Linked DNA regions of Rhinolophus ferrumequinum. The protein of the gene in region 2 interacts with the protein of the main gene of each other region in a pairwise test. Links are inferred from orthologs where the notes say so. Each region holds a gene or a part of one and is shown on either strand. Other genes may lie near its edges. The genes, in order: PEX16, PEX19, PEX11B and PEX10.

Region 1 (7,375 bases), on a different chromosome or scaffold from region 2:
TGCGCCCTCTACAGCTAAGATTGTGAACAATGGCTCTCTCTGGAGCTGGGCTGCTGCAAGCAGCCAGAGGTCGGCGTGAGCTGCTGTGGGCTACCATGTGCTGCAAGGAGCAGCTGGTGGCCAGCCTGAGTGGCTGGAAGCAAGCGTGAGCAGCTGTGGGCTGTTGTGTGGTGCCATGGGTTACCATGTGCTGCCACAAGCAGCCGGCGGCCAGCATGAGTGGCCAGCAGCCATCGTGAGGAGATGGCAGCCGGCGAGAGCTGCCGTGAGTGGGTGACCGATGACCGGCAACTGACTGCCTCAGCCAGGGGGACGCAAGGCTCATAATACCAGCATGGGCCAGGGAGCTGTGTCCTACAACTAGACTGAGAAACAATGGCTTGAACCGGAGTCGGGGACGGTGGGGGGAGACAAGAGAACGGGAGAAAGAAAAAAAAAAACCATAGCCAGAGATGAGGCTGGCAGGACCCATCTCTCCTACTGACGCTCTGTCCCTTCTTTGTGCAGCCCACAAAAAAGAATGAGGACTCTGACATCAGAAGTCCTGAGTTCAAGTTCCAATTCTGCCCCAACCTAATCTTTCTTCTCTGTAAAATACAGGGTGATGAGAACAAATGAGTTGATGGGGATAGATATGTTCCATAAATGGACAATATTCATTTGGTCAGCTCTAAATCCACCAATGAGTCCCCGGCTCCGTTCCACTCCAGAGCAGGCAAGCAGCTTACCCGGGGGCTGTGCCTGGGTCTCCCTGTCCAGCGGAACGATGGGGGGTGAGGTCTGGAGGCCAGCCTTGAACCAGATGAGCAGGAACATTCGCAGTACCGCCCTGGATTGGGAGTATGGAAGGGCTGGGGGCAAGGTGGCTAGCGGGCCAGGGGCCAGAGGTGCTCTCCTGAACCCCATCTGTACAGCTGGCCTCAGTTACCCCTCCCCCAGGGACTGCCCGCCACAGTCCCACATACTTGGCCAGCTGGATGAGGGCAATGACGAGCCAGCGGCCCACTTCGCCCCACACCTTGGCGGCTCCCATCTCCATGAACACCTCCACGCACTCCAGCACGCTCAGCCATGTCAGCAGCTTCTGCTGGGTCAGCGACTGTAAGAACCCCAGGCCAAGAGGTCAGGAGGCACCCCTTTGTCACAGGCCCTTCCCCTAGGGGACCCCTCTGACAGTAGAGGTGGATTTTCCCCTTTCCAAGTATGTTGGCCTGAGTTCTCCATCTGGGACAGGCTACTCCACGGCTCTGAGACTCAAGTCTTTTCATCCGAGATGGGGACACTGACACCTTGGCACCACCTAAGGAGGTGACTAGAGGCTCAGATGGATGCAGGCATGTCTCACACTCTATGAAATCATAACGTGCTACACACACAGGCTGGTTCTTACTATTTTGTTCCCAAGTCCCTATGCTTCCCGCCCTCAGTTCCTGGCAAAATTCTCACCACAGGCAACTTTTTCCGAAGCTCCTTCCGTAGGATCCCATCATTGAGCAGCACAAGCAGGTTAGAGGCGGAGTACACTGAGGGGCAGAGTGTGGCCGTCAGAGGCTGGCCCCGCAGCCGCACCTCCTCCCCTTCTCCCCAGAGCTACATGCATCACCTATCACCTGCTGTGCTCAGCCACCCACACACTATGTGGAAACCAACCCACCTCCCTGTCCACTTCCTCCGCTCCACACTCCGCAGTGTGATCTCGTGTGGGTGGCTAAAACAAGATGGTTTGACCTGTGACAAACCAGCTACTGCCCTGCTGACATAGCAGTGGCCCTCCAGCTGCCCAGAACTGTCCACTGTGCTCCAAATAGCCACAGATGGGTGGCCTCACCTCCTGGCCCTGCTCTCTCTGCATCCTGCACCTGAAAGTCTACTCCACCTTTCAAAACCCAGCTGGTCCTTTCAGGACCGTCACTTCCAGGTCTCGCTGGGCAAACACTACAGAGGCAGTTACAGTATGGGGATCCTGCAACCCGGGAGATGTGGATTTGAATCGTGGTTCTAGGGTCATCAGTGGCTACCTCCTAACCTCACTGAACTGCTGTTCCTTAACTAGACACCGAGGACAAGAGTACCCACCTTATATGGCTGTAGGGAGAATTAACTGGGCAAAGGCAGGGAAGGCATGTGGCCCAGCTGCCTGACCCGCCAAGGTCCCCAGATTTGTTTCTCAACTATGGGGACACAGAGGGCCCAGGACAGTGGACGCTGGACCTTTGTCCCATTCAGTCACAGCACAGGATGATCTAACAGGAAACCTAGGACTGCGAGCTGGGGTGGTCACCCCTCTGGGAAGCCTTCCTGGACTCTCCCACCCTCCACCCACCCGAGCCCGGCTCACCCAGCTCTGACAGCTCGTGCGAATCGGCGAAACGACCTGAGGAGAAGGCACAGAAGGAGGCGTCGGTGAGCGTTGCCTCACCCTGCGGCTTCGGGTCCCAGGATGTCCCCTCCCTACGCCCTACGGGAACCTGGAAGGAACTTCTCAAGCACAGCGATCACTACCCTGACGCCGCAGGGAAGGGGGCAAGTGGGGTCAGAGGTCAGAGCCCCGAAGGGATTGATCAAAGGTCTGGGTGGCACCTGCCAGCAGGTAACTGAGGCCCCGCACTGCCGTCTCCAGCTGGGCGGTGGCAGCCGGGTGACGAGTCACGTACTCCTGGTAGCGGAGGCCCAGGAGCCTCAGCTTCTCCATCATGCCTTCGAGACCGACAGACCCACTGACCGACAGACAGCACGAGCGGTTGCGGCGCCCTGCTTCCTGCGCCCTCCTTCCTGCTTCCGGCCCTAAGCCCGCCTCTCGGTTGCTTAACTTCCGCGGGCCAGTTGGACGGTGACGTGAAGGGCCATTGAACCCCCCATCACCCTATTTCTTAAATCCCCTCCCACTAGGGTAGCGCTTAGCAACTGCGGGCTTAATCCCGCCCTCCCTACTCCTTCAGGTCATCTCCGCCCCCGACCCGATCCACACTGTTCGGGACCCGGCTTTTCCGCCTTCCGGGTTGGCTGCCCTTGCGCCTGCGCAGTTATAGCTCCAGGAAAGCTCCCGCGGCAGTCTGAGCCGTTCATTCCAGAGAAGGCACTTGTAGCCTAGAGTCTTTCTAATAGAACGCCGAGAGGCTCGAACGGGACCGGATTTTAAAGGGCTGGGAGGTAGCGCGCGGAAAGGAGCCTCCATCAGACTTGGGGAGGAGCCGAGAAAGTCTTAGGAGAGTTGGACTGTGTCTTGGCAGGCGCGCGTGTGGCCAACTGCCTCATCTCCCGTGCCCAACCAGAGGTAGTGCTGGGGAAACTGAGGCAGCAAGGATTCCAGCATCCAACGCAGGCTCGATCCCCCGGCCAGCACCATTAGTGCCCCGACTTCGGCCCCAGCTCCCGCAAGGACTGTGTCCCCCAAGAGCGCGCACCTGCACGCCCACCTCCGTGGAGAAAACCCTGGCCCGGCCTTCTGCTCTCGGCTCGTGGTGACCGTGGTCGGGAGATTCCCTTCTCTGGGCCTCAGGTTTCCCCTCCCCATCTGTAAAGTGGTTTGAGGGCAGACTTGGTCCTTAGACTCGGAATCAATCTTAAAGCGCTTTACGGCCTTCGGATGCACCCCTCAGTCTTGCTGTTCCCCAAGGGATGAGGAGACTCCTGGGGATCCCTTCTCAAACGAGGCAGCTTCCCTGGAAGGGGCGGCTGCGGGAGAGGTGTGGCCAGAGGTGGAGGGAACTGACGCCCCTGGGAGGTAGTCGCTGATTGGTTGTGGGGAAAGGGGCGGGGCCTCGCCCATCCGGACTGTGCTGGCAGATGTGTGGTACCGAGAACAGCGAAACATTATTTTACCTAATCCCCTCTACCAGATATTATCTCCAAATGAAGGAAGGATCCGCTTAAGAACCCAGTCAAGATTCGAATCCTGACAGAATCTAGGCGTTTTATGCAACACACCTCACCGGGAAGCCACAACCCTTCCTGACACTCCCTCCCCCCAGCTCCCTCTCCAGTTTAGTTTTCTTCCATATCCGGTGGGCCCTACTCAGGCCAAGGAATGAAGAATCGGGTAGATGTGTCCAGGGGCCTCCGGAAAGGCAAAGGGCTTGGAGAACACAGAAGGTGGGCGTGGGCACCAGCAGCATTATTTCTCACCACCTCCTGGGTGCCAGGCTCACTCAACTCAACTCTTCTTAGCAACCTTGCTAGGTTGCTATGAGCTCCTTTTCACAGATGGGGAAATTAGAGGCTCAAGGAGGGGAAAGGACTTGTCCCAGATCACACAGCATGGCATTGGCCAAAAGGATCACAATACAGGTCTTACATGGCAGTGCTCTCTCTCCTGCCCACAGCCTAGCAAGAGCAAAGACACGTTGAGGCCATTTGGTCATAAATCAAGTTAGCAACTGGGATTAAGACCAGAGCTCAGGAACTTCGGTGTGGGGCTCTTTCTCCCTTACTCCCTGCACCCCATCATCTTAATGAACTTGTTCCCTGAACCTCACTAGTGGATATCCCTCCAGTGCCTCCCTCTGAGGCTGTGGAGAGAGTAAGGAGGGAGAGTGTGCCGTTTCTTTGGCATTCCCAGGGCTGGTGGTCTTGTGCTTCTGGGGAGGAGAGAGGCATGGAGGATAGAGGAGCAGCCTCCCCTAGACAGAATATGAGGGGTGTTTGGCCTGGAGTCTGTTTCTGTCTTTCCTGCCTCCAGGGCTGGAAAGGGATCATAAGGCCAGCCAGGCTGGCAGCAGCAAGGCTCCCTGAATTTCCTCTCCAGATCCCTGATTAGGTCCCAGAGACAAAGAGTGGCTGTGTGTGCAGAAGGCGCCTAGGGCAGCTTCTCCCTGCTGGGCCCATGCCTGGACTTGGTCACTTGGCTAGGCTGGAAGGGCCTCTGGGCATGATGGTCCGGATCTCCCCTGCTTAACTCTGCCATGAATGACAGGGGAAGAGAGCTAGACCAGTCCAACAAGTACAGATGAAGACGCAGAGGCCCAGAGAGGGGGCCTGACTGGTTCAAGGTTACACAGCAAAGTCCTTCGGCAGAGCTGGGCCAAACCAGGTCTCAGGCTTAGCACCCTTTCATATGCTCAGACATGTCTCCCTTTCCCCTCCACAGCCCAGAAGAACCTCTTGGAGGCCCAGCAGGCATCTCAGCAACTCAATTTCCCAAGTGGTAAGATTGAGCAAGAGTTGGGGCCAGTACTGTGAGTGACCACAGTCACTCTGCAGACCCAGCCTCTCCCACAAACTTCCTGGCCAGCCCTGACTGTGTGGCCCACCTGCTCCATCACATTTAACCCGCACAGATAGTCTCTGCTGAGGCTCTTGCAGGGGGATTCCACCCACTCCCACTCCAGCTCCAGGCTAGAGATGAGTGTCAGGGGGGCTCAAAGCTCCAGGCACCTGGGTGGCCCTTGCATCCCCTCATCTCCTCTCAATTCCTAGATATACAAGGAGCTGCCATAGGTCTCCCTGGCAACAATTGCCCCTGGCCTCCAAAGGCCCAAAGCCCAACCTTCCTTGCAGATCTCCATCTCCCAGAGAAAGGCATCCTGGCCTCTCAGGAGACTTAGGGGGCTCAGACTGGGCTGCTTTGTCACAGCTTTTTGAGGGGTTGGGGCATCTCAGGCCCTCACATTTTATAGTGAGGCTATAGAGGACTAAAGGACACAGCCTAGCCCCTTTCCAGGTCACAGCAAGGCCCAGTGAGTCCTATCCACTCTCAGCACATACTGACTGAGCACTGGCTGTGTGCCAGGCCCTGATTGGGTGCTGGAGACCCAATACTGTGAGCAGTCACCTTCCACGCGGCGACAAGCTATAAACAAGTCAACAAAGTCAAATTACTAGAAAAGTGCTAGGAAGAAAACAAACCTAGGGATACGAAAGGAGGAGCTGGCCTTGTGAGAATCTGGTAGAATCCAGGCAGAAGAACATCAAAGGCAAGTCCTGGGGCAGGAAACCCTTAGGGAGGAGCAGCAGGAAAATGTATGCCAGGTAGAGCCTGGGGAATAAGCTCCAGGGGATTCTAACAGGTTACTTCAATTCTCTGGGGAAGAATAATGCCGATGTTATAGGACCGTCGTGAGGGTTAACTGAGGCTTTATGGAACCAAGGCACAGGGCCTGGCACGGATTACATGCATGCGCTCAATCAACCGTGGCTGTCGTTCACGGTCCAGAGCGCCTCCCACCCCCTCCAGGGCTGAGCCATGTCGTTGCCTGCTGTGGGTGCGGGAGTGGGGGGTGGGGGTGGGGCTAGAGGAAGAGAGCCAGGCCCTCACCAGGCACAATCTCGACGGTCTAGGCAAGGGTGGGGATCCCGGGCCCTACCCAGGCGGCCCAGGCCAGTGAGGTCTCTCGCCAGTTCCTGGGCAGGAGGCAACTCTCACAAGCCCGCTTTGTCCCAGCCGAGCTCGGGCTGCGCCGGACCACGCTGAACCACCTGGGGAGAGAGAGAGAGAGAGAGAGAGAGAGAGAGAGAGAGAGAGAGAGAGAGAGAGAGAGAGAGAGAATGCAGTGAGGAAAGCAGGGCTCAGGTGCTCCTTTTCCAGGGAAAGTCTCGGCAGGCCGGCCCCGCCTCCTGCCCGCTGAGCAGGTGTCCCCGACCTCCGGAGCAGCATTCCAGCCTCCTCCTTCTTACTCCGGCAGTCCTTTTCATCCTGGGCCCGGGGTCACGGCCCCTCCCACGGAGGGAGGTTAAGGGGAGGAGATGGGGCCCCAGAGCAGCCAAGAGGGGGATGGGCTCAGAGCAGGTAGCGGGGACTGGGCCTTCCTGGATGTCATGACCCCGCTTCCACTACCCATCCTGAAGGTTTCCCGGCTTGCTCGCGGGCCTGGGCAGGGGGGCAGTCAAATACCGTGGCAGGGGCGGGGCCAGGCCCCCGGGGGTCTCCCCGCCTTTCGGGCTCAGCCAAGCGGAGGTGAAACCTGAGCCCAGGTTGGGGGCGGGGCTGGCTCCTGCTTGGACGGGGCTGGCCTGCGCCTCCACCCCTTTCCCCACACCCTGGCCTTTTTCTGGAAGAGTAAGGTCCGTGTCTCCAAGCGCTGGAGCAGGTGAGGTGGCGACTCGGCGCGGGAGGGGACCCGGCGGCCGTCGGGCCCGGCCGCCCAAGGCTGACCCTCCTATCTCCCTCCCCTGTCCGTAGGGCCCGCGATGGAGTCCGCAGCCCGCGGTCGCACCCCTCCTTGAGCGCCCCGGCAGGCGGCCATGCTGCCCCGAGGGCGCCCCCGGGCGCTGGGGGCTGCCGCTCTGCTGCTGCTGCTGATTCTGATCGGATTCTTCCTGTTCGGCGGAGACCTGGCCTGTGAGCGCCGCGAGCAGAGGGGGCCGGGATCCTTCCCATGCGCGCTAACGCCACGTGTCCCCCCCGACGGAGACCCGTCGGTGGACCACCCGGGCCACA
Region 2 (7,851 bases):
CCTTCATCCATGCCCAACCCTTCCATGGCTTTGGTCAACTCCTCTTCTGACATGCCTGAGTTCTAAAAAGGACAGGAGAGAGATGAGCAAGTACATTGCCTTCTTGGGATGCTTACTACCCTTTCAGGTGGGAAAGAACTATTTAAACTTGCCTATAGCAAAACAGTGAGGCAGAGACAGACTTGAGATGATACCCAAGAAACTCTGTCTTTGAGAATCTGCTGGTGAAGTGTCTAGGAGTGGGCCCCTTGTGGTTCCATTCCTGCCCACCCCCCCTCACCTGCAGATCAGTGGCATTTTTGGCTAGTCCACTTAGTGTCTCCTTTAGGCAAGAAGTGAATTCTTGTTGGGAAGTCGCATCACTGCCTAAGAGATCAAAAGAACCAAGGTCATTAAGGATTTTAACTGTTTGCTTACCTAGGCTGACCTGGTTACCAGCTTGGACATGGAGCATTTACTAGTGAGTCACGATTACTCCAAATCTTTATAGTTATCTTTATAGTCATTTTCACCAATCTACATGGACTACATGTCAGTTTGTTCTCCATGATGACACCTTCGAAAACACTGCGACCATTTACATGACCAGCTTTCAATAATCTTTCCTATTACTTTCCACTTATTTCACCCCTTTCATTAAGCAGCGTGCCCATCCTTCCTCCCATCTCCTTGCCCTACCCCCATAGAAGTGGTATCATGACTATCAACTTCACTAAGAATTTTGGGGTTTTCAAGCAACGATGACTTAAGAAGAGATTTGTTCAGATATTTCCAGTTGTCAGGCACCCCCCTCACCCACTCTCCCAGCAGCCTCTGAGAGCTTTTGGAACTGTTCCACCAGGTGGGGCTCTTCCTCAGCCAACTCCTTCATTGCCTTCTCGAACTCTGCAGTGGCTTGGGAAGCCAGCTCGCTGTCGAAAAGTTCCTGGAAAAACTTCTCTTGGGAGGCGAAGAGGGCATCCTGCAGGGGAGGAGTGGCCAAAATGCATCTCTTACTTGGCACTGCACTGCACCTGGTTTCTGACAGAAACCACAGGCAGAGGCTCTGAGAAATGCAGTGTCTTCTTCCTACCCACTTTCACTGAACATTCTAATGACCTCTCTTAATAAGGACAGCAAGAAGGTATCTGTCAGTATGGAGTGGTATTCCCAAACCAATCATTTAAATTTCCTTTCTTAAGGAATCCCCTTGAGATCTCTAAACTCCACCTCAAGTCAATTCCCTGTTTCACAAGGACTGAGGCCTGCAAGAGCACTCAGCAGTGTGAGGCCAAGGCACCCTCCCCTCACTCCCCTCTGGCCCACTGGGGCCTGCCCCACCTCTGCTCAGAGTTGCATGCCATCCCCTCCCCTCCCTTAAATGGGTAGAATTTATACTTTGGCAGTGTCTCCTGGCGATCTCTTCTGGGTCCCTGAAGCATCAGGGGCTGTAGTGGTAGGAGGGGGTGCTGGGGAGGGTTTGGCCTTATCGAAATCATCAAGAGCACCTTCAGAGACAAGAGACATGGTATGAGTTTTGGGGATGGATGAGGATGAAGGAATGAGGGGTTTCTGGGTAAAGCACTGAGAGAACAATTTTTCAAACTGCCCACGTTCCTAAATTTTTCTTTTTCTGAGTGTCCCTTTCCTGGCCCTCCCCTCAGTAAGCCTCCCACTTACCTCCCCATTACCTAATTTATTATGATCAAAGGGGAAGAAACATCTTAAGGAACAGGCATCTCTCTCAGAGCTGGGAGGAGAGGGTTAAAAGAAGTTCTGCAGAGACATCTCCATCTACACAGTGCCTTCCCTGCCACACTCTAATGATTCCCTAGAAATCTTATACAAATATCTAACAGGCACAGAGAACACAAATGTCCTTAACCCCCTGAACTCACTCTGGATCCCTGAAAGGAATAATCTTCTGCAAGAAAGCAAAAGCCACAAATGTCCCACCCAGCTCCTCATGGATCCTGATACAACTAGAAACTGAGGGACTCCATACTGCACTCCAGGGAAGGGCATTAAACTCTCTTTTCTTATCCTTCAACTTAGGCCTCCCTGGGCAAAGCTCCTAGAGCTAGTTCCCTCTGGCCCCATCTCTGCAGATAACTGTGAGCAGATAATTCACACAGAATCACTTGGCACTGTTGCTGAATCACTTATTCACTGTTTCTGTTGTCCTTCCACCTGCCCACATCTCTGTGACTGGGCAAGAGACAAAAAAATATTCACCTCTGCCCTGAAAAGCCTGTGTCCTCACTACCTTCTGCTTGCCAGGCCTAGGGGAAGGGCACTGGCTCCACTCTGGGCAAGAAACCAAGAGGAGTGGAGGACAGGGTTCAGGAAGAAAAGAACATCCACCCTCTTTCAGTAGGGTGAACTGTCTTCCTTGAGACCTTCTCATCCTCTATTTTTCAAAATAATGGCAAGGGAGTCGGCTTCAGCTTTGACCTGATGAAATAACTGAAAAGGGGCCTGGTGAGACAAAGGTGAAAGGACTGGGAGCAGGAAAGTGTCTTTTATGTTAAGGATAAGGCAGTGCATAGCAGAGTGAGCTACGGGCTTGTTAAGAGTTAATGTAAGCAATCTGCGAGTGTCTGGTTTGCTGCCCACCGAGGACCGAATGAAGTTCGACTTCAAGAACTTACTAAAGGGAAGGAGGGTTTGGAACTGGATCGTCAAACGCAGTCCCCTGGGTTACTGTTTCCCCTCTGGCAGAGAGATCAACGGTCTGGGCTCTCAGGGGCCCAACGTGAAGGCCGCAGCTCCCGCCGCGGAGGAAGATGAGGGGGACCCAGAAATCGGGATCGCAGTCAGACCCTCCGCACCCGTCCAATCTTTGGACAGCCTTCCCCGCTCCGCCCCAAATATCTCAGGCTCACTTAACTCCTTGAATGGGTTCTCATACCCGCCCTCCTCGGTTCTTTCCATTATGGACTCTTACTTTCCAGAAGCTCTTCCAATTCCCGGTCCGCTTCGGCGCTGACCGCACAGTCCTCCTCCGCGGCGGCCATCTTGCTACCTCTGACTCGCCGTAGGAGGCGGGATTCCGCTAGGCCCCCCGCGCTCCACCCTTTCCGCCTCTGCGACCAATACTAATTTGGGGCAGTACGGAGCCGCCCCAAAGGGACAGGAAACTCGATTTGGGGTGGGTTTTTTCCCCTTACGCCAGGAATCATTGAACTAACATAGAAACTTACTGTTATCTTTTGCTAGGTTTCTTACTGGCCTGGCTTCCTTTCATTCAGTTTCCCTGATTACCCAGAGAAGTAGCTCTTCCATTATTTTTTTCAGTACTTAACTCTTTCTGACATAATATATATTTTACTTATATTGCTTATTGTCTCCCCTTCCCAGTTCCACCCCTCCCCCCTAGAATTTCAACACCGTGATGGCAAGGATTTTCGTCCTGTTGTCTTCAATGCTGTATTCTCAGCTCCTAGGCTAGGGCCTAAAACTTAGTAGGCATTCATTGGCCATCCTTTGTTCTCCCAGATCCTTATGAAACACGTTTCTCTGTGGGACCTAATGGACATCTCTCCTTTCCTATTCTCCATTAGAACTGTTAGACTAAAGGACACAGGGCCAGGACTTGTTACGACTCAATGTTGGTTGAATCAATTCAGGCAGGAAATGAGACTCTGGGACCTTGGACTGAACAAGAGGGCAATTTGAATGTAGTAGTAATAGACCTGCCTTCCCTGATCCATCTCCTTTTCTCTGTACAGAACGCAACCTCCAATGGAGTGAAGTTGGAGAGGCTCACATAGAGACAACTCTAGACATCCCTTTCCTCCTCTGAGATTGTTCTCCTATTCAGATCTGTCATAATACATAAACTGCTTCAGACACAAATCTATTTTAGCACTTACAGGACATCTGCTGTTGTTTAAGACCTGTTGCAGCTCACAGTGGAAGATAGAGATAAATCAGGATCAGCCCTTGCTGACTGGGGATTAGGCTGGAGGTAGGACTACACATACACACAGTAAGAATGGCACAAGGAAAGTGTCTTTAAAAAGCTCAGGGTAAAGTGCCATAAAGTTTAAAAGGGAGAAATCACATCAGAATGAAAAGAGTCACTTCATGACTTTCATCCTTAGCTTTCCAAACACTTGAATACTGTGTCAAGCACCAGATTAGGTACGTTTTCTTTCCTTTACAGATAGGGCACAGACTTGTAAAATCATACCTGTGCAAAAACTACTGTATTCTTCTAAGCACAAGTAGTGTGACTTGGGAGAACACATTCTGAACTGGGAGACCCAACTCTGTCAATAAATTACTCTGTTCAAAACCCTTCACCAATTTAGACCTCAGATTACAAGTATGTAACAATACAGTTGGGACTCCAAGGTACTTTTCAATAGTTCTATAATCAACACTTGTAACAATTTATTACAGGCTAACTTGCTCATTCAATTCCAAACTGCTTACATGTGTATGCCTAATATAACTATAACTACCGTGTTTCCCCGAAAATAAGACCTCGCTGGGCAATCAGCTCTAATGTCTTTTGGAACAAAAATTAATATAAGACCCGGTCTTATAGTAAAATAAGACCGGGTCTTATATTAATTTTTGTTCCAAAAGATACATTAGAGCTGATTTTCCAGTTAGGTCTTATTTTCAGGGAAGCATGGTATATCAAGTGCATGTTTAAAAATATAACAGGCATTTCTATTGGCTTTTCATTAATGTGGCTATATAATCATGTTAAGGAAAATACTAGATGGTAATTGAGAAGATTAAGATGGAGTTCTAAACAAGCACGGTTCTTTGCTTTGTATCTTAAACTTGCTTCTGCTTTTGTTTTTACTACTGATACTCCTAACACTTCATCTCATATTTACTCACCTTCTGCCTTTCTAATGTATAGTGAACACTGTTGCAAAAAAGTAATTTACAGCATTTTTTTTTATATCACTCTCTCGCTTAAGGATATAATGGCTTTCCACTGTTTATTTACCGACTTCAAATTCTTGCCCGGTATTCACAATTATTTCACATATATCCATGTTGTTTCCCCAATTCCCTAAGCTTCAAGAGGCACAGATTGCACACTTTTTTCATATCCCTGAGTTCAGAATGTTTATATTTATATGTGAAGTTAATTTTGTAATTTAATTTTTAAACATAGAAAAAAATTTTTTTGCCAAAATGTATCACCAATTTGCTTGTTTACAGAAAGAATGCAGGGCGGCCAGATGGCTCAGTTGGTTAGAGCGCGTGCTCTGAACAACAGGGTTGCCAGTTCAATTCCCACATTGGCCAGAGAGCTGCGCCCTCCACAACTAGATTGAAGGCAACGAGCGGTCGCTGAGCTGCCAGAGGGGCGGCCGGATGGCTCAATTGGTTAGAGTGTGAGCTCTTAACAATAAGGTTGCTGGTTCAATTCCCACATGGGATGGTGGGCTGCGCCCCCTGTAACTAAAGATTGAAAACAGTGACTGGACTTGGAGCTGAGCTGTGCCCTCCACTAGACTGAAGGACGACGACTTGGAGCTGATAAGCCCTGGAGAAACACACTGTTCCCCAGTATTCCCCCATTAAAAGTTAAAACAATAAACAATAAAAATAAAAAAATTTATATATATATAAAGAATGCTTATAACTTGAGAAAATGTTATCAAAGTAGTATGCAAATTTTTGAAAAAACAGGCTCAGCTTGGGGATACTATGTTTAGAAAGCGACTCTTAAAGCTAAAAAGAAAAATAAAGGCCTGTGCTCTTTGACGTAGGAATTCCATTTCTAGTTTATCCCCCACCTGTATAATGTGTGTTCAAGTTATTCATTGCAGCCTTGTTATAATAGCCAGAGATAGACTGGAAATAACTCAAATATCCATCAAGAAGGCAACTTACATAAATCGTAGTAAATAATACATGGTACACTATGCAAAGAAGTAAAAAAGAGTGAAGCTCTCTAATATAATGAGATGAAAAAAAAATCCCTAAAATATGTTAAGTGAAAACATTAATAAGGTGCAAAATCTTTAAATAGCCTGCTTCCATTTATGTATAACAGGGGGATAGGGAGAAACATATTCCTATCTGTTTGTATATACATAAATCTCTGGAAGGATAAGGAAGCTAACAACAGTGGTTTCTTGTTTTGGGGAAGGTGATAGGAACTATGTGGCTGAGGAAAGGGATGGGAGGAAGACGTCACAAAATAGCTTTTTACATTTACTGATTTTTGAATCATATGAGTGTACTGTTTATTGAAAACATGAATTTAAAATGAAAAAGTACATACTTTAATCAAAGGCACAGCATGTCACTGTATAGTCTTAGCACATAACAAGCAAAATACTGTATTGCTAATATAATAATTGTAATAAATACAACGTGTTTAATACTAATTAATCTGATATATAAAACATCCAGAACAGTTACAGGTGCTCAATAAATATTGGTATAATCAGCAATAGATAGAAGGATGCAGTTCAATGATGAAATGAGGGAGCCACTTACTTTCTACCATTCTCATAGCAGTTTAATATATCCTATGGGAAAAAAAATTTAACAACGGGTATTTATTATTTTGTAATTAGAAATAATTATCGAAGGAAAGACATCTGCTTTGGTGGGGCAGCTGCATGGAGTAAGCAGGAACATGAGCGTATCCAGGAAACAAATAGCAAGCCATAAAATTCTTGTAGAAATTTATTTAGTGTGAGAAACAAAAAATAAGAACAATGGTTGTAAAGAACAAATCAATAAAAAGGGATGTGCGTTTTTGAAAAGCCAAAGTTTCTTCTTAGACTTTAAGTTTCTGGGCACACAGAGGGTACCTGCCTGGGAGTTTAAAATGGGGGATGGCTAAGAGTTTGCTGTGATTGAGCAAAAGATGCTATCTTATTTATTATATCCCATTCCTTTCTAGCAAAAAAGGAAAAAAGGTGGTGAAGAGGAAAAAGATAAATATTGAAGGAATTTACTAAACAAATGTTCACCACTAAGTTTTCATTTGTTTCTTGAAAGAGCTAAGCTGGGAAGGCAAGTTCAACTGTGACTGCAATTGTGACTGCAACTATAGTAGTGACCTTGAAAGAATGAAAGGTCCTCAAAGGCAAAAAAAAAAAAAAAGAAAAGTCAAGTTTAGACATTTGATTAGCCACAGAAGAAGAGAAAAGGACACTACATTTTAGGGTAGGGAGAGCTAAATGTCAATTTGAAAGGTAGTTAAGGAACAGGGAGTTACAAGGACACAGAGACTAATTCTCTGGGGCAGTGGGAGGCGGATGGTATGGTGATTGACCCTTTACACACAAAGAGGGCCTTAGCGAAACTGCAGAGGACTAATCCTTAAACCAATCACATCTTTGCCAATCTCTGTCACCTGTAGAAGAGGAAACAAGAAAAATTTACGGGTTTGTGAGGGTGAGAAGCCTAGAAAGCTTACTCCCTCCACTCCTCAATGAGCACAGTAGAGTGATTTGTTATTGTTTGTTACTGATTGGTAAAGAGCAATGGGGAGAAGTTCTAGCTTTCTCCAGTATCACTGTCTCCAGGAGCTAGGGGCAAATAGAGGAGAAAAAGGACCAACATGCTTCTTTCTCGTTCACCTTCCCTCAATATTCTGGATGCATTTCTCAAGGACAGTACTTACTGTAGTGACCCTGCAGATTTGACCCTTGAACTCCGGGCAATAGCAGGCTCCACTGAGTGGACATTTCTCCACTGGCTTTCCACGGTAGATGGGCCGATAAGATGCAGCACAGATATCGAAAGGGTTGTGCATGTCATAATTGAGCTGGTAGACATCTGTGGGGTTCTTCTCACAGGCAGACAGGATTTTGCGGGTCTAAAGATAGGAGGGAAGGAATATTTATTTAAGAGGACTGAAAGCTGCACACCACAACT
Region 3 (7,583 bases), about 22 Mb from region 2:
ACCCTGAGCGGCCTCCCGCTGGCCCACTCGTGCCTCAGTTTCCCCATCTTTCCCGGGCGCAGAAAGGAATCATCTCCTCACGGCCGGCTCCAATCAGCTCGTCGCGGTCTGTCCGGGCCCCCGTCGCCCGAGATGACCCTTTCTGACCCCCGTAGTGGGACCTGACCTCGCTCACGAGGGTCTGCCTTTGCCCGCCCTCCCCCCACTCCTAGTGGGGCCGCACCTGCACAGCCGGTCCCGGGCCTGGCTCTGAGCACTGAAGCGGACCCAGGCGTCCATGACAGCAGCAGCGCAGGCTCCGCAGCCCGGCTCCCGCCCCTGGGCACGCCTCCCGGACGACCCAACGGTGCCTCGCGAGGGACACACATCGCCAGACAAGAGCAGGTGGAGACGGCGCTGAAGCGGAATTTCGGGAGAAGCGCTGGCGGGTGGGCCTGCGTGTTTTTGTGCTCTCGGTCGGCCGGCTCATCCGGGGGTCCCTTATTTCCTAAGCATGCTCGGGCCGCACATTGTCTTTGAAATGTTCTGGACCCAGGGCGGGGCTTGCAGGGGTGGGGGCGGGGCAAGAAGGCGCCGTAGTGATCCCGCCGCGCCCGCCGACACAGGGCTCCCCCGCCCACCCGCGGGGGTGCGAGCAGAACACCCCCAACGTGCTCGCGCGCGCCCGCCCGCTCCGGTCGAGTCCAGCGATTTGGGGGCTACACAAGCCTGTGGAAGTAGAGGCAGTGCCAGACAGTACGAGGCTCCCCGCAGAACCCTGACAGTTGGTTAGGTGACCTCCAGAATACAGATGGAGAGTCCCGACAGAGGCTTTAGGAAGAATTTCGCGATAACCAGCTCCAGATCCTAAAAAGGAGGGTGAACAATCAGTGGCCGAGCTAATCTCTTCAAACTCACACTTCATCCCCCCTTCTCCTTCCAGGTCACGATGTCCACAGGCAATGGCACCACTTTGGCGGTGGCAGTGCCGGGGGGGAGAGGCCTGGGCGGGATCAGGAGTGGAGGTGGAGGGTTCAGAGCTGCCCATCTTCTCTGCTGTGGCCAAGGTCGGAGTGGGAGTGACCGCTGTGCTGTTTGTTCTTCCGCTGGAGGGAACTGGCCGTGCTGTGTGACAGCCGCAATGCAGCCAGCTTCGCCTCTCTCCAGTAGGGCGACTGTTTGCCCATTTGGCAGCTGCCGGTTTACTCTTGTGGTTATGTCCCTAGATATCACCCGGAATATCGCTGTTCAGTGACTGGCGGGGAACATCGCATGTCAGACACTCGTGTTCCTGAAACTAACGGCCATGTATGCTGCAGCTTCCGGGCCTGTGGTCACTGGGCTCGACTCCACCCACCTGGACCTCGCTTAGCTGGAGGGAAACTTCTGGGGGCGGCCAGGGGACTTAGTTTCCCGCTTGCTTTGCCCCAGGTTGAGTGGCTTGTCTGGACTCAGGGCTAAACTGGACATAAATTTGGGCACGCAACATGAGCCTAGGGAGACAAAGGGTGTGCTTGGCAGTGGTCAGCCATTAATCGTCGGGGGGAGCATCTAATTCTTTTGCTAGTTAAGATCATTGCATGTTAACTTGTTAAGAGCCTATGTCTTAATTAAAAGCAGTACCCTTTATCTATGCTTCTTCCCTTCAGCTTTTACTTCGCTTCCCCCTTTTTGTATCCTTCCTCTGGAGATTGTTGCAGCAAAACTCTAGAGCAGGGAGGAAACATATATGGGGTCTAGAAAGAAGACAGTGAAGCCAGAGGCTTTGGGAAAATTTTGTGGTATATTCATTCATGATTTAAAAAATAATGTGCAGCATCCCCAGGTACATTCAAGTGCTCTATTAAAGATAGAGCAACAAAGTCCTGCCTTCGAGAAATGTAGACTAGTGCAGGAGACAACTTAGTACAAACCCGGACAGTACAGTGTACAGTGAAGTCTTATGCTAAAGGTGAGCATAAGGAGCTAAGTAACGAGGGGTGTTTGACCCACTCTTGGACAGTCGGGAAAAGCTTCCCAAAGATGCTAAGATTTGATTCTTGAAAGATACGCGAAGGTGTTAGACAAGTTAAAACAGGGGGAATGCTAGGGAGGGTGGGCAGTGGATCTCAAGAGTGGTTGCAGCTAAAGTTGAGGGCTAGAAAATGGTGAGTAATGAGCCTGGAGGGGAAGTCAGATCACAAATATTAAGCTTGTACTTTACCCTGACGGCAGTGGACAGATACTACAGTAAAAAGTAGAGAGGGACATAATCAGATTTGTATTTTTTACTCCAGCTTTATTGTGGACTGGGTGTCAAAACTGGAAAAAAACAAAGGGAGCATCTGAACCTGAGTACCAGTTAATAAAATCGCAGTATGAAAATGAACTAGAATCTAGAAAAAAGCTAAATATGAATTTTCTGCAAAACAAAAACCACTACTACCATGGGGGGTGGGTAGAGCAGCATCTCGAGATTAGGATTATGTCTGGAAGGGGGCTAAAATTTCAAACTCTCGAATGATAATGCATTATTCTTGTAGTCAGATTTAAAATGTGATCCGTAAATCCTTACATTATTAGAATTCTACCAAAAAGTTAGTCCGACTATAGTTCTAAGACATACATCTTCCAAAAGTATGTTGCAAACAGGACCTCTGCGATCCCAAACTTTAAAAAGCAGCTTGTTGCCTCAAGTACAAAAGGCATTATTTATATGAAGCACATTTTAGGTGGGGACTGGGAGTTAGAAGCCTGTTTTTGTTGCACTGCTTGCTTGTTTTACTTTGCTGTGATTTTTCAGTCTAGGTTCTACCATTAACTAGCTATGTGACTGGCTAAATCATTGAAACTCCTGGACCACAAGATCACACAGGAAATGAATTTCATCCTTTCTTACAGTTTGGACAACTGACAACCTAACAGCTGCAATTTCCATGTGCTTCAATGGCAAACTAGTGGTAACATTATGATACATGTGCAAAAGGTGATATTTTTAGTTGCAAATTAGTATCCTCTTGTGTAAATTCTGCATTGCCCATATGTTGTATTTAAAATATTAGTGTCAAAATTTTTTTTTCCTGAAGGAAACCTTTATTTGGGGAGAACATGGAAAAGAGGGGTTACTCACAGTCCAGATCAGCCTAGAAGGGCCTGAAGGACTGTCTGTCTAGGTGCAACAGTTATATAGCAAAAAAAAATATTTTAAGTGTGCTGTTAGTGTGATGAGGGAGTGCTGGGCTAATTAGAAATTAGTTTTATAGGCTCAAGTTTCCAAGTATCAAATAGTTGAAAGGAAGGTTTCTATAATAGGTGGTCAATTGTGTAGAAAACAGGGAAAAGAAGAGGCAGAAGTAGGACTATACATCAAACTGTCTAGGAGCCTGGCCTATTTTTAAACCCCTCCTCACAATGTGTCAAATATTTCTCAGCATAGTGCACAAAAACAAGAGAAAAAAACCAAAAAGACCTAGAAATATAAGAACTCAAGATAGGGATAAAGGAAAGACCATTCCCCAAGTAGCTCCGAGTAGCACGAACATAACTCCAAGCACTTCATAAAATCACATGTCTATGGCTGATATTTTACCATCTTTCCTAAAAGTCCCTCATGCCTGCTGAAATCACTTTCCAAATACCTAATACCTAGGAACCTGATAGCTACAGAGCTTGCCTTTTATCAAACTAAGTGACTCAACCTACTTTACCTGAACCAAGCTCAAAACTGAAAAATACTTTATTGATTCAAACCAAAACCCAGCAATTTACCAAAAGAGGGGAGGGGCAGCCAACAACATTTGGAAAATGTTAAATTTTATTATTTATCAGTTTCACCATTATAGTTCTTGTACATTAATACTCCTCCTAAAGGTCATTTCAGAGTGGCTGCAAAATGGCCTGAAATTTTAGCAGCACCCAATTTATACAAGGTTTCTTTTTTCTAAAGAATTAGTCACAAACACATTAGGAAAATCACATCAGCTAAAAATGTTGGTGAGGTGGTAAAGCTATCCTTTTATAAGGGCAATGTTTCAAATAGTACTTGAGAAGGCAGGATTCTTTAAGTCCCAGGATATAACAAACTTAATGGTTAGCTCCACAGCCTAAGGAGATTAAGATTTTCAAGATACATTTCTAACTGTATGGTACCACGGACAAACCGTAACTCTGTATTGCTCTGCATACATACAAGGATGAATTAGGAAACAGTGTGACACCGGTGGGTAGGTTGGGAGGAGGTGGAAGGGGAACCAGTTCTTACAGTCCTCAAGCCCACTCCAGCTGTTCCTGTTCTACAGCACCGGTTGAGGGGCCCAGTCCCTTTCACTCAGTGTGTCACCAAAGGCAACTTCAAAGCTCAACGGCAAGAGACTACCTATAACCTCTTCACCTTCTCCTGCCTCTTTCTGCTGCCATTGACTGCCACGACCATCTGCTACAGCCACAATGTCCTCAGTGTGTCTAGTCCCCAGACAAGGAAGGGGAGCCAAGATGAGACTACAATCCCCAGGCCCAAATTCGTACCCTGGAACTATTGCTGCTAGCCTCATTTATGATAGCTATTTATCAAGTCAAATCGAGATCCTAACCATACTTCTAGTACCTGATGCTACACACAATTTTACTAAATGCTTTCAATTCCAACCAGCCTCTAGCCATCCTCTGAACTTGAGTTAGCTGGTCAAGGGTTAAGGAGGTGATCAGTATTCTCCTTTACTCTTGGGACACCATCAAGTCTTAAAGTAGACTTACTAGCTTCATATAACACAGCACCTCAATCAAACCTTTTCTCTAGCATGTGTCATAATCTTGGGGGGGAGGGAAACACACAGTCCCAAACTGGGAAGGGGAAGAGGGTTTGCAGCATTCTCTTCCTTGCAGGGAAAGAGCTCCATCTCACTATCTCTGCCCATCCGTTAATTCATCCTATACTCAGGTCAGGTGAATATGCCCTCTGCCACTCTGTCTCAACAATCGGCCCCGCATTCGTCTGTGGGCCCCAAGACTGGCCCTGCTTGGTTTGCTGACCTTTGGCCTCTGCTGGACATCTTATTACCTGCTGGATCTCTCCTGCCATGCTGACTGCAGTGCCTCCCGGCCTCAGCCACATCCTTTTCCTCTTTGGTGTCCTCAATGCTGCTCTGGATTCTGTCCTCCATGGGGCATTTGCGCTTGGATGCTGAAGAGGGCACCAAGAACTTAACATAGACTCCTCCAGGGAAGGAGGGTCTGGAAGAACTCCCCGACGGGACATTCAGACCCTTAGACAGATGGAAGTACACACAAACGTGGCAGCAACAGCAGCAGAAATGAAAGAAACATTCCTATAACATCCATTTGCTCCGGACAGAGTATATAGGGACAGAATAATTATTCTTTAACATCATGAGAACATCTCACTGCTCTTCCTATTCTTACTTCCAAGGAAAATAAATACTAAGCAGTGTCTCTACTTAGACCCTTTGAGACTTGAGACTATGTGTAATGTAGATATTCACACAGAATTCAGTCACTGGGAGAAGTATCTTTACAGTGACCCATACTACCTTGTTGGAAATAGCACTTCAGAGCTTCCAATGTTAGAACAGAAAAGTAATTTTAAATGTAGAAAAAAAGAACGGGACATTTATTTGTAACTCACAAGAACCACCAAGCAATAAGGGAAGAGATTAAATACAAACAGTGAGTTCCAGCCCAGCCCTATGTCTCCAAGGCTGGAATCTCTGGAGAGAACACCCGGACAACACAGGACCTGTCAGCGACGCCTCCGGTCTGGACTCCTGCTGCGTCTTCGGCCACCTCTAGGGAAAATGAAGGGAGGGAGGTCCGTCAGAGGGACACAATACAATGTCCTTATTCCATTTCACTCATATTCCCTTCCCCAAGACGGTGTGTGCCCTCTCCACTTTACCTCCTCTTGCTCTTGGGTGGACCCCGAACAAAACACCAGTCCACGCTGATTGGCTGTCCCATCAAATCCTGGCCATTGAGTCCTTCCATAGCAGCCTGGGCCTCCTTGTATGTTTCATACTCAACTAGAGTATAGCCCTAGGGCAAGTGGAAAGGCAGGTATCAAAACCCTCCTATTCCACCGAGCTGTTTTCTACTCAAGTAGGACAGTCCATGTGTATAAACTTTAAACAATGAATATATATCAGAGGGTGCCAAAAAATATATATATACATCTTAAGAAAGGAAAAACTGTGTTAAAATTGTAATACTCAATATATACCGATAACAAAAGATGAATACAAGTCATGTGTATACATGTTTTTGGCACCCCGGTATATCCCTACTGTATTTACAATATGTTGTCTGTTTCTTTCCTAACAAAATCAATTTCCAATGATATTTTATTTCAGCTTTGCTCTTGGCCAACCACACCAAACATGGGAGGCAATGGAGTGTAACTTAGGATACCTTCAGGTATCCTGTACGCCTGTCCAGGTTGAGGTGGATATTTTTTATTTCCCCATATTCTGCAAATTTGTCATGGATGTCTTCTTCCGTGGCTTCTTCATGGACTCCAGTGACAAAGAGAATCCAGCCTTCAACAGCTGTTGGGGAAAGGAGGGAGGTTGTTTGAGCCCATGAGAGAAAAACTTCAAGCAAGATCACAGGAGTGTGAACTCCAGAGACTGGTTAAGCTATCTCTGACCCCTTTCCTACTGGTTTTACTTTATTAGTCCCTCATTCCTACACAGACACCTACAGGCTCCATGTTACTTACAGCGTTGTGGTCCAGGTTCATCGCCATCCTGCTCCACGCTGTCATAATCCTCACGCATCCGCGCTCGAGACCCCTCTTCTAATAAGAAACATACACGAGATCACCGGAAATCCCTTCTCCCACCGTTCCCCAGGAATCAGAATGGGGACTCCAAAACCCGTAGCTCTAGCCGTTCTAGACCCCCCTTTCCCCACAAACACTCACCGGAGCCAAAGCCGCGGCCCTTCCGTTTCTTCGCTTTTTCCTTCAGTTTGTGGATGCTCTCTGCGCCCCATAAGTAAAGAGTAAGTAACAAAAACAACACAATAGTCTCTCTCCCAAGACAACATCTGAAAGCGGACCCCCATCGCCTCCCATCCCAGTCCCTTCCCAGTCCCGCCCCCAGGTTCTGCCCCGAAGGGGGCGGAGTCTCCACTCCAACCGAAACCCGGTTCCCCGCCTCCCACCCTCCCTGCCGGGAAGAATGGAAATTGTTTTCCTAGTACGCCCTTCTGTCGCACCTTCCCCGCTTCCCGCAGCCGCCTCCACCGTCCTCACCGTCCCCATCCTCATCCATGGCGAAATCTTCGCCCCCGGCCTCGTGAAGATCCAGCACATCCGCCATCTTGCCTTCGTTCTAATTCTCGTCTGTGCCGCTCAGGAACTAAGCATCTCGGGAAACTGTCGCGGAGGGGAAAGGTCGCCAGTCAAGATAACCAATCAAAAGCCTACTCTAAGTCCCGCCCATCGGTGCGGTGAAAATACGTCCTGGAGGCGGGCTTAGTCCGGGAAGAGCCGGAAGTGTTCCTGTAGCCATTTTGAGCAGGTCGTGAGCTGGAAACAGTGTTGCCGTGAGAGACAAGCTAGGGGTAGGCGGAGATGGTGGCTTCCTCCTATTTAAGGCTGCCTTGGAGAA
Region 4 (7,149 bases), on a different chromosome or scaffold from region 2:
GCCCCGCACACCTGCGCTGAGACAGGCTGCGGTGCAGCTTCCACTCCCGCCGGGCACGGTGTCTCTGCCGCAGACTGTAGAGCTGCAGCCCCACGGTCAGTGCCAGGTGCAGCAGGGAGATGAACCCCAGCAGCCGGTAGCTCGCGTGAGCCCACGGGTCCTCTGCAGGTGGGCGGCGGGTGTGGAGCTGTCAAGGACGCCGAGGGCACAGACACGTGATCAGCTGGCACAAAGACTGTGCAGACAACCAGGCTTTCCCCAGCACTTGGGTGCCCCATCCAATGAGGCCAAACTGTCCTCTTGGCCCACGGGGACAGAGAATGACCATGGGGCCCCCAGCTGAGTGAGGGGGGCCTGGACACGACGTGGGTGGGCAGTTGAGGGATGCTGTGCAGGCCTCACTCCCGACAGCAGCCAAGTGCTGAGCCAGGAAGAGGTGCACAGAGCTTATGCTGAGTCCACTGGGGCCGTAGGTGAGGACAGGGTGGGGAGACATCCAGGGCCCCACCTCTCAGAGGAAAGGAAGCGGCCTGAGGAGCTCCCTGCAGGGCAGAAGAAGCCCACGTGGCAGACGCTGCCAACCAGCTCCTCTGTTGGAGAAACAGAAGCTCCCCGCTTTTCAGAGGCACCTATGCTACCCAGGTGACACTGTTCCAGCCTCTCCTGCAGCTAGTGATGCGTGCAGCTTCTGGCCACATCCTTGAGAAGTTGGTTGCTCTCCACTTGCTGTCTCCCTTCCCTTGGCTGGGAATGGGGGCAGCTAGATGGCCAGGCCCTGGGTGCCCACGTACAGAAGAGCCCGTGGCAGCCCTGGATGGCCCAGGAGGGGGAACAGCCCACTGGGTGGAGCCCGTGGTTCCAGCTCAGCAAATGCTCTAAGACACACCGAGGGTGACGAGCCGTCAGCGCTGTGTGTGAGCACGCTGAGGACCGACACAGGACCAAGAGAAGGGAGGTGCAGGTGCCCAGGACGGCGCTGCCCGGGAAGGTCAAGGAAGGGGTGTGGTGGGCCTTTCTTACAGGGAGCGCGATGCTGAAAGTGACCCAGGAGAGCCAACCTGGGGACGCTCTGGCAGGTGGGGCCCTGAGGGAGGCTTTCTGGGTGAATCCGGAAGCAAGGGCATCAGCGGAGACAGGGTAGGAGCCTATCTGCAGGCTTTGTGGAAATGACTTCCTTAGGTCTTTCAGCAAAAGGTGACCTAACGAAGCCCGGTTGAGAACTGTGGCCCCAGCCGGCAGCTCTGTGAGCCCAGAGGCCCTGAAGAGCCACCTCTTTGCGGACAAACCCGAATGGAGCAGTGTGGGTGGTATCCGCACTTACATAGGTGACACCCGTGAGCCGCTTGGCCAGGTGGTAGAAGGCGCCATGGACGTAGAACCAGGCGACGTGGAGCCGCTGGAGGCAGCCCAGGCCCCACCTGAACGCCAGCACGGCCCGCAGGATGACCCTTCTCTGCTGCTCCGTCAGCGTGGCCACCCGCCGGTGCAGCCAGCGCCTCGTCCCCGACCGGCCACGCACGCCGGGAGCCAAGCTGCCCTGCGAGGGCCGGGCGCCGCCCTCAGCCTGCAGCTCGTGCTCCAGGTGCAGCAGGGCCTTGTCCAGCACGTAGGGCAGGACGCTGTGCAGCGCGACCAGCACACCACGGCGCAGCCTCGACGGCACGCGGCTCCGGGATGGGTCCACCTGCACGACCCCAACGTACTCCTCCCCGAGCGTCTGGTAGCCTGAAGGTGAGGGACACCCGTGTGAGAGGCTGAGGTGGGGCGCCAGCACGCTCCTTCTCTCTGCAGTGGGTCTCGCACTCCATTAGGTCCCTGCCTTTCCTCTAACGAATGCCAGGCCCTGCCACAGGGCTCAGTGCAGGGACCCCTCTTGGGCCCCGGGGTTCAGCCGCTGAGAACCGGTCTCAACGGCATCCTGGGCAAGGTCCAGGACTAAGGTCCCCAGGGACACAGACAGGACAGGTGAACGTCAGAACTTCCAGAGGCCCCGGGGGCAGCTCAGCCTGGCCTGGCCTGCCCTGCCCTCTAGGGGAGGGACTCCGGTCCTCTCCTCCTGAGGCTGTCCCTTCCAGGGACACTGGGAAGCCCCTCCAGGAGCTCCTCGCTCTGCCGCCAGCTCGCCTCCTGCCCTCTGGGCTTGCTGTACGCCGTTGTGAGGCCCTGGTCCGAAGGTGCCACAGGGGTGCTACCTGCAAGTGTGGTGAGGCCGAAGTAGGCAACATCCGACAGCAGCTCCACCTCTTTCCTCCACTCCAGCCACTTCTTGGCACCTGAGAAGAGAGGCAGCACCATCGTTGTGGGGTGGGGGCCGGTGGGGTGGGAAGGGTTGGTGACATGCTCCCGTCTTCCCGCTGCCAAGGCCCAAAGCTGAGACTGTCCTCAACCACGCTGTCCTCTCTGCTACATTATTTTGTAACGTAAACATAGACACCATTTGTTCTACCGCGTTCCCCTCCAGCTCAGAGCTTCAGCGCAGTCTCGGGGAAGCCACCCCGTGCCCCTCACCCTCACCGCTCTCCCCACACCTGGCCCCACCCCGACCCGGAGTCGGGGCGCAGCCCTGGCGGCACCCGCTGCTTCCTCGGCGCAGGTCTTAGTGGCGCGTGGCCTGGCCCCGGGGTCCCGGGGGAGCTGCCGGGCGGGGTCTGGGTGCGCCCCCGTCCACCTCGCGGCGTGGCGCCCAGGACCACCCCCGGGGCCATATCGTTCTAGCTGCGCCGGTCACTCAGGGCAGGTAGCGCCCTCGGACGCTCCGCCTGTCCTCACGGCTCACCCACGGGCGGGGGTGGGCGCCCCCCGGGCCATCCCGCACACCTGGGCCACCTGCACTCCGCCCGCTCGGCCCCGCGCGGCCTCACCCGCCAGGCTGTGCAGGGCGCTGCCCGCCGCGCTCCGCAGCCCGCCGCGGTAGTAGTCGTCCTTCTGCGCAGCGCGGACCACCTCAGGGGGACTGGCGGCCGCGGGAGCCATGGCCGCGGGGACACGGGTGGCCACGCCCACCGGGCGGTGCCTGATGACGATGGCCCGGCGTGCGGCGCACACCTTGTGCGTCACGGCACGCGAGGCGGGGCCGAGGCGGGGCCGAGGCGGGGCGGGGCGGGGCGGGGCGGGGCGGGGCGGGGCCGGGGTTGTCGGGGCGGGGCGGGGCGGGAAGGCTGTGGAGGAGGAGGGCGGGACGGAGGGCTGGGCCTGATCCGGGGGCTCAGGACGCGATGGGGGTTCCGGGTCTGAACGCTGATCCGGCTGCTTCGTGGCGAGGGGAGCGTGGGACCAGCCCCCGGGCCTGCGAGGGGCGTCAGAGCCAGAAGTGGGTGCTGACCCTCCGTGAGGTTGAAGCCTCGTCCGCCCTCCCGCCTCCGAGGTCGGGAAGGTAAGGAGGGCATTGGATCAGCTCAGAGCCCAGGGGACGGAGACTTGTCACCCCACCTTGTGTTCTAATCATCAGGGACCTCACCGGGACCCAGGATGGGGGCAGGACAAGGCAGGCACGTCCACTCACCCACCAGGCTGCCCTGCGCCAGGCTCCAGGAGTGCAGACCCCACGCTCCTCCCATCCTCTCTGGCACAAAGGAGTAACCCAGGGAGACCTAGGGGGACTTGCCAGGACCACACACCAGAGAGGACAGCTGGGCGAGTCCATTGCCCAGCCTGAGGCCACAGCTGGACTTGAGCCGCTGCTTGGGAGGGACCTGGGGGAAAGAAAATGGGAGAAGGCAGCCTGTGTTGGGAGCTTCAGGCTGGAGCAGGTCACCAAGTCTGCAAATGTGCCTCACAGCCACCTGGCAGAGGGAGGGCAGGGGGCGCCCCAGACAGACTTGAGTGGCCCCAGGCCAGCCTGTCAACAGAGGAGAAGGGCCCTGCCCTGTTGGCACTGAGGGGAGTGCCTGGCCACCTGGATCCATGGGGCTTGCAGGAGAGAAAGTGGGTGGGACCAACCCCGGGGCTGGGGAGCCACAGGCCCCACTGACCTGGGCCAGGAGAGCCTGGGGCGGGACAGGCCTCAGCTCTTGGCCTCACCTCTGCTCTGATCTTCCATCTCCAGACGCTCAGCTGTGGGAAGGACCCCAGGCTGGCCCAGCCCAGTGACAGAGCCAGGCAGTGGCCCAGCGGTGGAGACGGTTTCAGAGCTGGTGGGGCCCCACTGGCTGCAGGCAGGGCCTGCTCAGAGGGCGGGGGCAGGACCTGGGTCTTCTCGCAGTGTCTGCCCTATGCTCCTTGGGAGTCGTGCCCCTGCCTGTGTATCCCGTTTCCTGGATATAAAGGCTGCCTGCTGCTTCTGCTGCAGCCTGGGTGGACCCTTGGGGGTAGGCGGGGGGAAGACGTGGCCCACAGGGGACACTGAGCCCCTCACAACTTTCTGGCCAACTGTCATCTGATGGTCTGAAACGCACAGGTCCTTCCTGGCCCCAAAGGAGCCCAGGCCTGTGGGTTTGCACCGATGGATGGAGTCCACGGGCACGGAGTCGGCCTTGGAAGGGGTTGTGTTCCCTTCCTCGGGGTCACGGCTGGCAGGGCACCACCCTGGCTGCTGTTCCTCACTAGCTGGGCCCACTCACTAGCAGGGTCCCGCAGGGAAAGCATCTTCCAGCCTTTCTCACCCACACAGCCTCACGCCTGGGTGGGGCACGGCCAGAGTCAATGTGCCGAGTGCCTTGTTCTCGAGGAGGAGGGCCCTGGGGTTCACTGGGGTTCACATCTTCTCAGTGTTCTCACGGTGCTGTGCAGTTCGCTGAACTATGATTCGAGTTTGGGGGTCAGATTCCAGAAAGGCCCAGCAGGGGGCGCCGTCAGCCCATCTGCTCTATCAAGTTGCTGGGGAGAATTTTAGGGGATTAGGGAGTGATTTTCACCCCACAGTGTGAACTGGGATCAGAACCCACGGCAGAGCGGCGGAGTGACCACTCGCTGGGCCTCAGTGTAAAGGTGGGGACACGGCCAAGGGGAGTAATGTGACTGATGGTGGGTTTCAAAGGGAAGTCAGGGTGGGCGGGGCCAACGGGAGGCCTACCCTGTCAATAAGTCAGCGCCCATGTCCCCTGGTGACCACAACCTGGTGACCACAGCTCTGAGCCCTGTGTACTGTAGTGCTGTCGGGTCCCAGAATTCTGGGATGTGCTGGAGAGTAGGGACGAGGGCTCTTGCCAGAGGGGGGCACTGGTCACCCCCAGCCTCTGGACGTCGCGGGCTGTGCCCACATGAGTCCCGGCAGACCGGCCCCTCCGAGCAGCCCCGCGGCCTTCAGGCAGAGCCCGCGTGGGGCCCTGACCTCCACCTGCCGGGCCGTTTGACCCGAGCGTGCCACTTCCTGTCTCCGATTGAAGACGCTCACCAGAAACGTGTCCCGGCTGGCTTCTGAACCCCCATCTCAGTGCTGAGGACAGGCAGAGGTGTCCCCATCTCCCAAGCAACTGCTCCTGGCACGGAGGCCGGCGGGGTCCTTGGAGACCTCTCCCAGTCCTGTCCTGCCCCTACACCTGAGGGGCCCCTTGCTGCACCCCTCCTGGGCCGGGGTCCCTCAGTCTCACAGTGGGAGCCCCAGTCTGAGGGAGGGGGCGCAGCACAGGAACCTGGGTGGAGGTGGGGTGGGGTGGCTCTGGCCCTGGTGGAGGGACCAAGTGGCAGACTGGACCTTCCGAGGAAGCCTGGGAGGCAGTTCGGTGAAGGAGGCGCTGGAGCAGGACTTCAGAAGTCTCCTGTTATGGTTCTTGCCGAGACGGCGCCAAGGGCACCTCTCGGGCCACCCCAGCCCTGGGGTCAAGGCTGGGGCGTCCTGGGCCCATCTGCAGGGGTGAGCAGTAGTGGGCAGCATGGGTGCCGTCTCTGCAGCCTGCTCAGCCCTGGGCACCTGCTGGGACCACCAGGGCAGGGCAGGGAGCTCACCCTCGGGCTCAGGCAGTCAAGGGAGGTACTCAGATCAGTGGGTTCTGGACCTGCCACCTTCTTTAGTCACGTTTTGCCCTTACCTGCCGGGACCTTGGGTTCCTGGAGGGCCAGGGGGCGGAAGACAGGTGCTTTTAGCTCCAGGTCTGGAGACCACAGGTGAGGCCTGGCTCTGTGCCTCCGGCCCCAGGCTCTGGGATGTGCTGGAGGCTGGTGGGCCAGCCATGAGCTGCTCCCAGCGCCTGGAGAACGGGTGCCTGCGGGGAGCACAGGGGAGGGGAGCAGAGTGCAGGACAGGCAGTGCGGGGCCAAGCCTGCCCCGTGGCCTCGCTGGGCGTTTCCCTGCTGAAGCCTGTTCCCCGTCTGCAGAAGAGGCAGCTGATATGCTGCTGTCTTCCTACATTACAGCCTCCCTGTGCACACGGCCTCGTCCCCTGGAGAACCGCACATGGCCTCGTCCCCTGGAGAACCCCTCCAGCCCCAGTTGTCCCAACACGGCCGACCCCGGGCCTGCATCGTCTCACTGGGGTCCCAGCTGAATAGCCCCTGACTCTCCACACCGGCCCCCAGCCCCCCACTGTCCCACTTCACTGGCAGAGGAGCACCCTGGGCCCAATGGCCCTCACCCTGGCTGGCGTCCTACTGTCCAAGGCCACCCCGAGTGTGCACCTCTGCACCCACAGTGCTCCCCACCCCATCAGGGGCTCCAAAGACCTGTCCTTCCTCTTCCCCTCCCCCCCACTGTGCCCACAGTGGGGCAGCTTCTCAAAGGGGTGAGCTGCCCTCTCCAGGTCCTCTCTTCCATTCTTTCCAGCCTCCCAGGAACTGCTCTTGCTGGGGGTCACAGCACCCTCACGGCCAGGGCCCCCAGCCATCACCCTGGGACCATCTGTGCCTGAGGGTCCGCTCCTCAGCCCCAACTGCAGCCTGCTCTGGGAGGGGGTCTGCGGAGGACAGGGCTAGCGGCCTTAGGTCCTGGCTGGTCCTGCGTGTCCTGTTTCCCGAGTATGAAGACAGTACGAGTCCAGACTCTGTGGATGAGAGCAGCAGACATGGACTCGAGGTTGGCAGGCTGTTCACAGCCTAAGCCGCCACCAGAGGGGAAGGGGACTTCCCATTTGTTGGCTGAGTGCCCACCCAGCAGCCGGTGGAACAGGGACAGGTGCCCCCCAGCTGTGGAGTTGACAGCAGAGAAATGCTTTCCCTCAGCTCCTCTGTGTTAGTTTTTGGAGGGTGGCCAGGGGCTTCTGTCTGTAGAAGCACGAC

What was found.
Region 1: the proteins of PEX19 (region 2) and PEX16 interact in binary tests that used the Homo sapiens proteins (3 or more experiments, as listed by UniProt). The link is inferred for Rhinolophus ferrumequinum from reciprocal best matches to the Homo sapiens genes PEX19 and PEX16.
Region 3: the proteins of PEX19 (region 2) and PEX11B interact in binary tests that used the Homo sapiens proteins (3 or more experiments, as listed by UniProt). The link is inferred for Rhinolophus ferrumequinum from reciprocal best matches to the Homo sapiens genes PEX19 and PEX11B.
Region 4: the proteins of PEX19 (region 2) and PEX10 interact in a two-hybrid assay, tested with the Homo sapiens proteins (4 studies listed by BioGRID and IntAct, with this or other methods). The link is inferred for Rhinolophus ferrumequinum from reciprocal best matches to the Homo sapiens genes PEX19 and PEX10.

Annotation. Positions count from the first base shown.
Region 1 is NC_046294.1:14,936,189-14,943,563, reverse strand, and holds the start of PEX16 (peroxisomal biogenesis factor 16), read right to left. Parts: upstream 3,010-7,375; 5' UTR 2,696-3,009; coding exon 2,581-2,695; intron 2,375-2,580; coding exon 2,339-2,374; intron 1,524-2,338; coding exon 1,447-1,523; intron 1,100-1,446; coding exon 966-1,099; intron 830-965; coding exon 729-829; intron 1-728. Other genes in the region: xylosyl- and glucuronyltransferase LARGE2, read left to right, coding at 7,180-7,375. UniProt on the Homo sapiens protein: Required for peroxisome membrane biogenesis. May play a role in early stages of peroxisome assembly. Can recruit other peroxisomal proteins, such as PEX3 and PMP34, to de novo peroxisomes derived from the endoplasmic reticulum (ER).
Region 2 is NC_046305.1:28,254,691-28,262,541, reverse strand, and holds the start of PEX19 (peroxisomal biogenesis factor 19), read right to left. Parts: upstream 3,010-7,851; 5' UTR 2,997-3,009; coding exon of another isoform or gene 2,927-2,996; intron 2,446-2,926; 5' UTR 2,387-2,445; coding exon 2,215-2,386; intron 1,488-2,214; coding exon 1,378-1,487; intron 962-1,377; coding exon 796-961; intron 367-795; coding exon 281-366; intron 63-280; coding exon 1-62. Other genes in the region: COPA (coatomer subunit alpha), read right to left, coding at 7,268-7,327, 7,598-7,792. UniProt on the Homo sapiens protein: Necessary for early peroxisomal biogenesis. Acts both as a cytosolic chaperone and as an import receptor for peroxisomal membrane proteins (PMPs).
Region 3 is NC_046305.1:50,154,113-50,161,695, forward strand, and holds the start of PEX11B (peroxisomal membrane protein 11B), read right to left. Parts: upstream 3,006-7,583; 5' UTR 369-3,005; coding exon 224-368; intron 1-223. Other genes in the region: RBM8A (RNA-binding protein 8A), read right to left, coding at 5,714-5,759, 5,870-6,006, 6,379-6,515, 6,689-6,766, 6,893-6,952, 7,226-7,292. UniProt on the Homo sapiens protein: Involved in peroxisomal proliferation. May regulate peroxisome division by recruiting the dynamin-related GTPase DNM1L to the peroxisomal membrane. Promotes membrane protrusion and elongation on the peroxisomal surface.
Region 4 is NC_046292.1:1,175,620-1,182,768, forward strand, and holds the start of PEX10 (peroxisome biogenesis factor 10), read right to left. Parts: upstream 3,016-7,149; 5' UTR 2,974-3,015; coding exon 2,862-2,973; intron 2,274-2,861; coding exon 2,193-2,273; intron 1,726-2,192; coding exon 1,322-1,725; intron 188-1,321; coding exon 12-187; intron 1-11.